Linked DNA regions of Tribolium castaneum. The protein of the gene in region 2 purifies or fractionates together with the protein of the main gene of each other region. This does not show direct contact. Links are inferred from orthologs where the notes say so. Each region holds a gene or a part of one and is shown on either strand. Other genes may lie near its edges. The genes, in order: protein FAM98A and tum.

The links.
Region 1: the proteins of tum (region 2) and protein FAM98A purify together in Homo sapiens (co-immunoprecipitation; 3 studies listed by BioGRID and IntAct, with this or other methods). This does not show direct contact. The link is inferred for Tribolium castaneum from reciprocal best matches to the Homo sapiens genes RACGAP1 and FAM98A.

The regions. Positions count from the first base shown.
Region 1 is NC_087394.1:32,799,279-32,803,466, reverse strand, and holds protein FAM98A, read left to right. Parts: upstream 1-1,541; 5' UTR 1,542-1,674; coding exon 1,675-1,712; intron 1,713-1,759; coding exon 1,760-1,965; intron 1,966-2,017; coding exon 2,018-2,511; intron 2,512-2,612; coding exon 2,613-2,813; intron 2,814-2,862; coding exon 2,863-3,453; 3' UTR 3,454-3,551; downstream 3,552-4,188. Other genes in the region: alanyl-tRNA editing protein Aarsd1, read right to left, coding at 7-260, 352-479, 527-779, 927-1,055, 1,102-1,140. UniProt on the Homo sapiens protein: Positively stimulates PRMT1-induced protein arginine methylation. Involved in skeletal homeostasis. Positively regulates lysosome peripheral distribution and ruffled border formation in osteoclasts.
Region 2 is NC_087394.1:20,766,172-20,769,735, reverse strand, and holds the end of tum (rac GTPase-activating protein 1), read left to right. Parts: intron 1-1,139; coding exon 1,140-1,265; intron 1,266-1,312; coding exon 1,313-1,597; intron 1,598-1,649; coding exon 1,650-2,047; intron 2,048-2,097; coding exon 2,098-2,230; intron 2,231-2,281; coding exon 2,282-2,442; intron 2,443-2,499; coding exon 2,500-2,554; 3' UTR 2,555-2,753; downstream 2,754-3,564.

The DNA.
Region 1 (4,188 bases), about 12 Mb from region 2:
ACTCACTTCAATAACGCTGTTAATTTTTGTTCCCGCTTTAGGCAGTTATCTAAACGATTTATGACTCTGTTTCCACTTAAAAAATAAAGTAAGACTTTATCCTTTCTCTTGCTTTTTTCCGAGTGCAATAATTTAATTGCTTGCAATTGACTCAGATTTGTAACATGGGTGCCACAGCACATGTTACTGTCAATACCTTCAATGGTAACAACGCGGATGTCGCCCACGTGGTCTGCTGGTAGGTCGCGAGCGCTGCGGTACTAAAATAATTCATTTACACGACTAGGCATAAAAGTTGATTTTTTATGATTAATGTCTGACGATTTTACAAAAAATAAAAGAACATCGTACATTTTCTAGTTTCTCAGGGGGCGTATTTTCGTCGAAAATATTAACAACGACCGGCCGTTGATCCCTTATCAGTTCGTTACAAATGTTTTCAACGTGATCGATCTGTTCTTGGGTAATTTTCGGTATATCTTTAAACATAAATTATTCAGAGCGTTCAAACCAAAAAAAAAAATACCTAGTTCAATGTACGACACTTCTTCTCCCAAGTACCAGGAGATTGTATCAAAGTTAAATTCTCTGATTAAAACAGCAGAGATTAAATGTTGGCCTGAATGTTGCTGCATGTGATCCAGTCTGCGATTCCAGTCAATGATGCCTTTAACGTCATCACCGACATTGAGCGGTTTTTCGATGAAATGGACAGCTTTGTCGCCCCTTCGTATGACTTGGTACACGGGTTGGTCGTTCAAAAAACCGTGGTCACAGGGCTGCAATTTTTAGTCAAATGGGTTATTAAAATGTACCGTTTGTTCAATTAAATTTCTGATCAAAGTGACCTGGCACAATGTTGCTAACTTAATTTCAGTCACTAGGACCAGAAAATTAATTGAATATGTGCACGAAAAATTAAAAACCTGGCCGCCCCCTTCAGGAAATAGAACAGTGTTCTCCAGAATGACTTCATATCCATTGATTTTAACGTTTTTGCCGTCAACGGTTGCGTCAAACTCGCTTTTTTCGCATGAGACTACTTTTGAAGTAAACTACAAGTATTTTTAATGTAACAAGTTAAAATTTGTTGTTTGGTACCTCTTTCAAAAAGCTGTCTTCCTGGCACTTAAACACCATGTTAGAATTACCGATCACTTTACAAATTAGTAAATTTTTGAGCAACTCTTCCGTGCTCTGGTTTGACAGTATGGAATTAAATTTTTTGGGTGTTTTAAGTGGTGTTTCTTAAAAACATATAAATGTGCGACTTTAATATATAATATTAAATCTAATAATCTATAATCTTATCGTGTTGTTCAAATAAAATAAAACAAGTCATCGGGGCCCCCACAAAACACGTTGCGACTTACGTTACGTTTTGACATTTCGTATTACGTTACGTTAATACCTCACTGTAATTCTCAATTTTGTGAATTTCCTAGCATATTTAATTTTTAACAACTACTTCGCTACAACGCAAATTGAGTTTTTTAAACGTTTTCCCCATAATAAAAATTTTCAAAAAAAAAAAAGTAAAAAATGTTGCGTTATTTTACGTTGCGATATTTGACAGCTTGACCACTTGACATTTTCGCAAATTGGTTAGAAATTCAATAACCGGCTTCAATCTCTATATTAGTGCAAAAGTAAGACATAGTATTAATTAATACAATGGAACAGAAACTCTTAGACGGACTGAAGGACCTGGGGTAATTATTTCCCAACCAAAAATTTCCAGGTCTAACTTGCATTGCAGTTATTGTGGCCCCCTTCTCGAGAAGGCTAGTTTTGATTCTGCCCTGCAGGAGGGAGCAAAAAACGTGGAATTCACCAAGCTAGTCAGTTTTTTAACAAACGAGCTACGCGCATTGCTTAATATCGATGAGGAAGTCAATCCAATATCAGGCCCTGAAGATTCAGTATCGTTTGTTATGGAAGTTAGTTCTTTTCTGAAAGAATTGAGTGCGGTGGTTTTGTTGTATTTTGCCAATTTTTTCACATTTAATGGTTACAGACTGCCCCTACGTTGCCTTAACACAGGGCCATATTTCAGACCGTCTGGAAAGTCACCAAGACAAATTATTACTTTTAGACTATTTGGCTACTGAACTGATGGCCGCAAGAGTACTACAAGAGAAAAAGCCCGATAAAAAATTTGAGCTAAAACTGGTAAGTAAAACGAAACGCAATTTTCAAATTGTTGATAAAGTTTTGCAGCAAGAGACTGAAGAAGCTGCCAATATGAGGAAGATATTAATGACTCTGAGGTTTCATAAACCGCCCCCAAACATTACTATTCCACAGTTATTCCAAAAAGTTTGCCCAACTGTGCAAAGTATTGTTCAAAAAGTTGGAAGTGAATTAGTTGGAAAGCCTGCGTTTCAAGGAACACTTTCTGATAAGCAGTGGGAAACACTAAATGGGGTTCAGAAGGATTTGAACAATGAATATAAAATTAGAAGAGAGATGTTGCTAACAAGGCTGGATGTTACGATTCAGTCTTTTCAGGTGGGCACTAATTTTAACATTTGTTCCATTCTTATTTATTACTTCAAAACAAATTTCATTTGCAATCTATACATAAGTTTCATATTCAATTGTTGTTGCAGTGGTCTGATAAAACGAAAGGCAAAGATGAGTTATTTGAAAAAGTTTACACCGAAAAGCGGAAACGCCTGAAAACGGAACCGGAAGTTGAACTTGCTGATTTATTAGCCGCACGAGACGACATTGCAATTATCGAAAAGACAAGTAACTCGTCTGTGCGCAAAAACACAAAATCGTCACTAAATAAAGTCATTATTGGACAGGTAAAACCATGATTTTGTTTAAGAAAAAAACACCAAAGAAAACTTTTAGGTTCCTGATCGTGGAGGCCGAACCTCTGAGCAAGCGCCGCCCCCTCCGGAGATGCCCTCTTGGCAGCAGCGCACGCCGGGGCCCTCGGGGGGCGGTCGAGGAAGAGGCGGCGGTAACTTTTCCCGTAACGACAACAGACAGAACTATTCAAGAGATTCGGGGAGTTACGGTGGAAGTTACTCTGGTAATCAAGGTGGTTATGATAATTATAAAAGCGGCGGTCGCGGTTACGACAATTATAACCAGGGGCGCAGTTATGACAGTGCTGGAAGTTACGGTGGTGGTTATAACAACCCTGGTTATAATAACGAGAGACAGGGGAGTTACGGCGGCGGCCAAGGCAGTTATAACGATAATAAAAGTAGTTACGATAATAGGAATTTTGATAGTGCAGGTAGTTACTCCACGAGCTATGAACAAAATTCGAAAAGGCCGAAAACTTACGATTCCTTTCAACAAAATAGAACGACTTATGCTGATCAGTATGTGCAAGAGGAACAGCATAATCAGCAGTATCACGGGAGGGGGAATTACAGAGGGAGAGGCAGAGGACACTCGAATTACAACAGGGGAGGCAGGAATCACTATTAAAAATTGTGCTGTATCATTATTTGCAGTTATTTGAAACTAGCACTAACACTTGAAAGATTGCTAATGTATTTAAATATTTAATAAAAGTACTGAATCGATATTGAAGTTTGATTTTATAGTATTTCCATTTTCATCCAAAACAGTTTCTAGAACTGAAGAACTCACTTCCTAAAGCTAGTAAATTCAAAAAAAGGTAAAAATTAAATGCGCCATCTATGCAATAAAGCCAAAAGTAAATTAAAATTGTTAGTGTTGCCATCTATATGTTGGATGTAAAAGTACAATGCTACAGTAATCTGTAATGTTTTAATTGCCATCTATACGCTTTAAATTAAAGCTAAAATATAAAGTAACCTGTAAATTTAGCGCCATCTATTTATTTTTAATCTAAGCTTTAGTTAATAATAACCTGTAAAAATTAAAGAAAAGTGTCTTCTCTTGCCTTTCGGATTTATTAATATTTTGAACTTAAATATGGGACACTTTCTGTTGTCGTAGCGACTTGAAATTTTGCATGCTTACATAACTTTTGAAGCACTATTACGTCATGTACTTCGATTCCCGATTTAAAAATGTGCAGTGCTATCTCGGTTCCTGAGGGAGATACGGGAACGGGACCTAGCCTATTCGATAGCCCGGGAAAAATACTACGGGGCGGTAGGGGTTTTAAAAGGGCAGAACCACCCCTCTATTTCCAACAGGAACGGAGATATTTCGCATTTTGTGAATCGCAGA
Region 2 (3,564 bases):
TCCGAGGTTTTAAACACGCTTTTGAGATTAGGCTAAATTGTGATGAAACGTTACTAACTCAAAAATAATCCGGAAAATAACAAAATTTGGAATGTTAATTTTGTATTTAGCGGACGTTTATAGACGTTTTTAAAGAGTTTTTTGTTATGTAGGTGTAGAGTCTTTGTGTGTTTTAAGCACGTGTTTAAATTGAAAACTTCATTTTGAAATGGAGCATAGGCTTATTAATATTAATATTTTCAATAATATAAAGTCGCCCTGATTCTGTGAGATTATATGGTGATCATAAAATTAGTCTATTATGTGAAATGTAACCGATACCCTATTGAAAAGAAACCCCAGTGGTAAATTATTCTAGCAACTTTTCTAGCAACACCCTTGTCAAAGGGTCCAGGACGGAACTCAAAATAATTTGAGACCGCACAAATTAAATTTGTTTTATATTAAACAATGATAAAATGTTGGCACCTGATAATTTTCATGCTTGCAATCTGGTTTTACAGCAGTAATTATTTTCTTTTCTTAAGTGCTTAAGTGAATTTTGAAAACATTAGGGAAATTATTTGGAGCCGGACCTGGCCGGTGAAAGCAACCAGTCTAGGAGAAGTCAGTTTTTGCAAGGGCGCGTAGGTCTTAATACCTGCACAATAGATGATCCTTAGTAGTGGTAATGAAGTTTATTGTGGTTGTATAATCTTACAAGATCAGGGTTACTATAATAGTATATTATTATATGTGTTTTATAAGACGTTCTCTTGTAGCACGAATGGTTTTGGAGCACGACGAAGGGGTGTTCCAATAGAATGAGTGCCACAATTAAAACTTATAAAACGAGTGCAGTACTATTTTTTCTACTTTCTATTTTTGTTGTTTGTTTTTGTTTAGTTTAACTTATCAAAATCTGTTTAAACTGTTTCCTCTTATTTTTGTTAATTATTCGGGCTTTATGATAAGCGACTTGACCCAGCCACCCAGCCCAGCAATGCCAATACAACTTCTAAAAATTTACTAAAAGGAGTTCACAAGTTCTCTTTGTGAAACTACTTTCAGTTTGTTTGAACAATTTGTGAAACCAAAGTCGAAAAACATATTTTTGTGTTCATTTTTATACTGTTAATATGCTTGTTTTTTGGGATTAGATTGGAGCTGCTGACACCGTTAGAGCAACCACTACTCTAACTCTTAACAAAGATGGTCCTATTACTGCTACGTCTATTATCGAGTCCGTCCCTAAAACTCCGGGAGCCCCAGAATCGGCCCATACGGTTGTATGTTTATATTTGTTTGCGTTTTTCTTAATAAAAAAATTTAGGCCGACTCATACCCCAGTGCCCCTCCAGCAAACCTTGTTTTTGAATCCTGGGCTCGTGAAAGTCCGCGCAAAACTCACCAGAAACTAGCCGGCAAAGAACATTGTTTTCAACAAAAAACTCTTGTAATGCCTGAAACTTGCACATCTTGCGATAAACGAATCCGCTTTGGTAGGAGCGCTTTTAAGTGCAAAGAATGCAAAGCTCTGTGTCATTTGGAATGCAAGAACAATCTTCCTTTGCCATGTATTCCTGTGGTGCATACACCAAATCAACGAAACGGATTGGTATGTTACTAGAAATTAAAAGTAACTCTTGTACTAATGTTAACTTATGAAGGGGGTTATTGGTGATTATACCCCAACAACTCCCCCCATGGTTCCAGCTATTCTTATCCACTGCATAAACGAAATTGAATTAAGAGGGCTCTCAGAAGTTGGCTTATACCGAGTTCCAGGCTCAGAACGTGATGTTAAGGCTTTGAAGGAACGGTTTCTGAAAGGCAAAGGGGCCCCATGTCTTAATCAAGTTGACATTCCTGTGATTTGTGGAACTGTCAAAGACTTTCTCAGGGGTTTACATGAACCAGTCATAACTTACGCCTTGTGGAAAAAATTTGTACAAGCTGTGAATGCTCAGGACCCACTTGACATCCAACCAGCTCTGTATCAAGCCATATCAGAGCTTCCACAACCAAACAGAGACACTCTCGCATATATGATTCTGCATCTTCAGAAGTAAAACAGACAATTACAAGTGGAACAAGTTTAGAAAATTTTATTTTTAGGGTGGCAGAGGCCAAAGAATGCAAAATGAATATCGGTAACCTTGCCAAAATTTTCGGACCGACTTTAGTTGGATACTCGTCCGATAATCCAAACCCGAATAATTTGCTGGATGAAATCGTTCAACATAATATGGTATGTTTTGTTCTATTGCAGGTTCAAGTTTGAGACAAGTAATTTTATTAGGTAATGGAACATTTGCTTAATATCCCATCTGATTACTGGTCTGGTTTTATCAACATCGAGCCGACTTATCAACGTGGAAAATTGCAGCAAACTCCAAGCACTGATTCATTATTGCGTCCTATAGCTCCTAAAGGACTTTTCACACCAGTGAGCGCTAACAGGTTGTTGTCTCATTATAACAAATGCCCCGAAGTTTTCTAATTATTATTATTTTGCAGAAGTTGTGCGAAAAAGAAGCAGAAGTATTTTCCTTCACCCAAGAATTTCCGATAAATTATTACTTATTAATAAGTTTTTTTACATTTTATACTGAAGAAATATTATTTTCTAAACTTTAGCATCTTTTATATGCCTTTTAAATATACCACTGTATATTGTCCAAGTTGATTGGATTGGTTATTTTCAAACTAAGTGGTGTAAAATATTTATGTAAAAACTAATTACGTTAAAATATACCATATTTTGGACTAAATTTGATTATTACTTTGAAGCACCTTTCATTCTTGTTACAAGCAACGAGCGGCTTTTGATAATGGCACCAACAAAAGAAATACGTCGCATAATAATACTAATAATTATAAATACCGGGTGCTCAAAAATCGGCGCACCAACTCAATGGAGTGTGATGGAGAACTGCTTACACATAAAGGTAAAAATAGTAAAAAAATTCTTTATATTAAAGTTATTGATAAATGACGAATTTTAAATAAATGATATGTGGCAACGTTGTCTAACAGTCGTGATCGCAATTGAATTTGATCAACAATAAAAATAAATTATTTTTCAAACGGTTTCCTAGGAAATCATTCCCAGTGTTGGCACATCTGCACATTGTGATTTTTTCGATGAATTCTAATTTTTTTAAATTGAAAAAACTGCTAAAGTCTGTTAGTAAATTTAAAAATAATTATTCATCGTTTTGTTAGGTAACTATTACTTAGTGCGAAACATAAAAACATTAAAAAATAATAAAAACTGAAGAAGTTAACAAAATAAATTTGTCGTTTCAGATTTTTTAAGATATAACTTTAGGAATTTTTTCAAGATTTTTTCGATGATCTACACATGCTTCTCAACAACGTACCACTGAGTTGGTGCGCCAGTTTTTGAGCGCCCTGTATATAATTTACGTTATAATTATAATAAATTAAATAAATATATTATTATTATAATAAATACTAGCAAATATACGAATTATATATAATAATACTAATTAATACCTAATCATATTTACAAAAAAAATATGAAAAAACACTATAGCTTTATGCACTTTAACAAGTTAA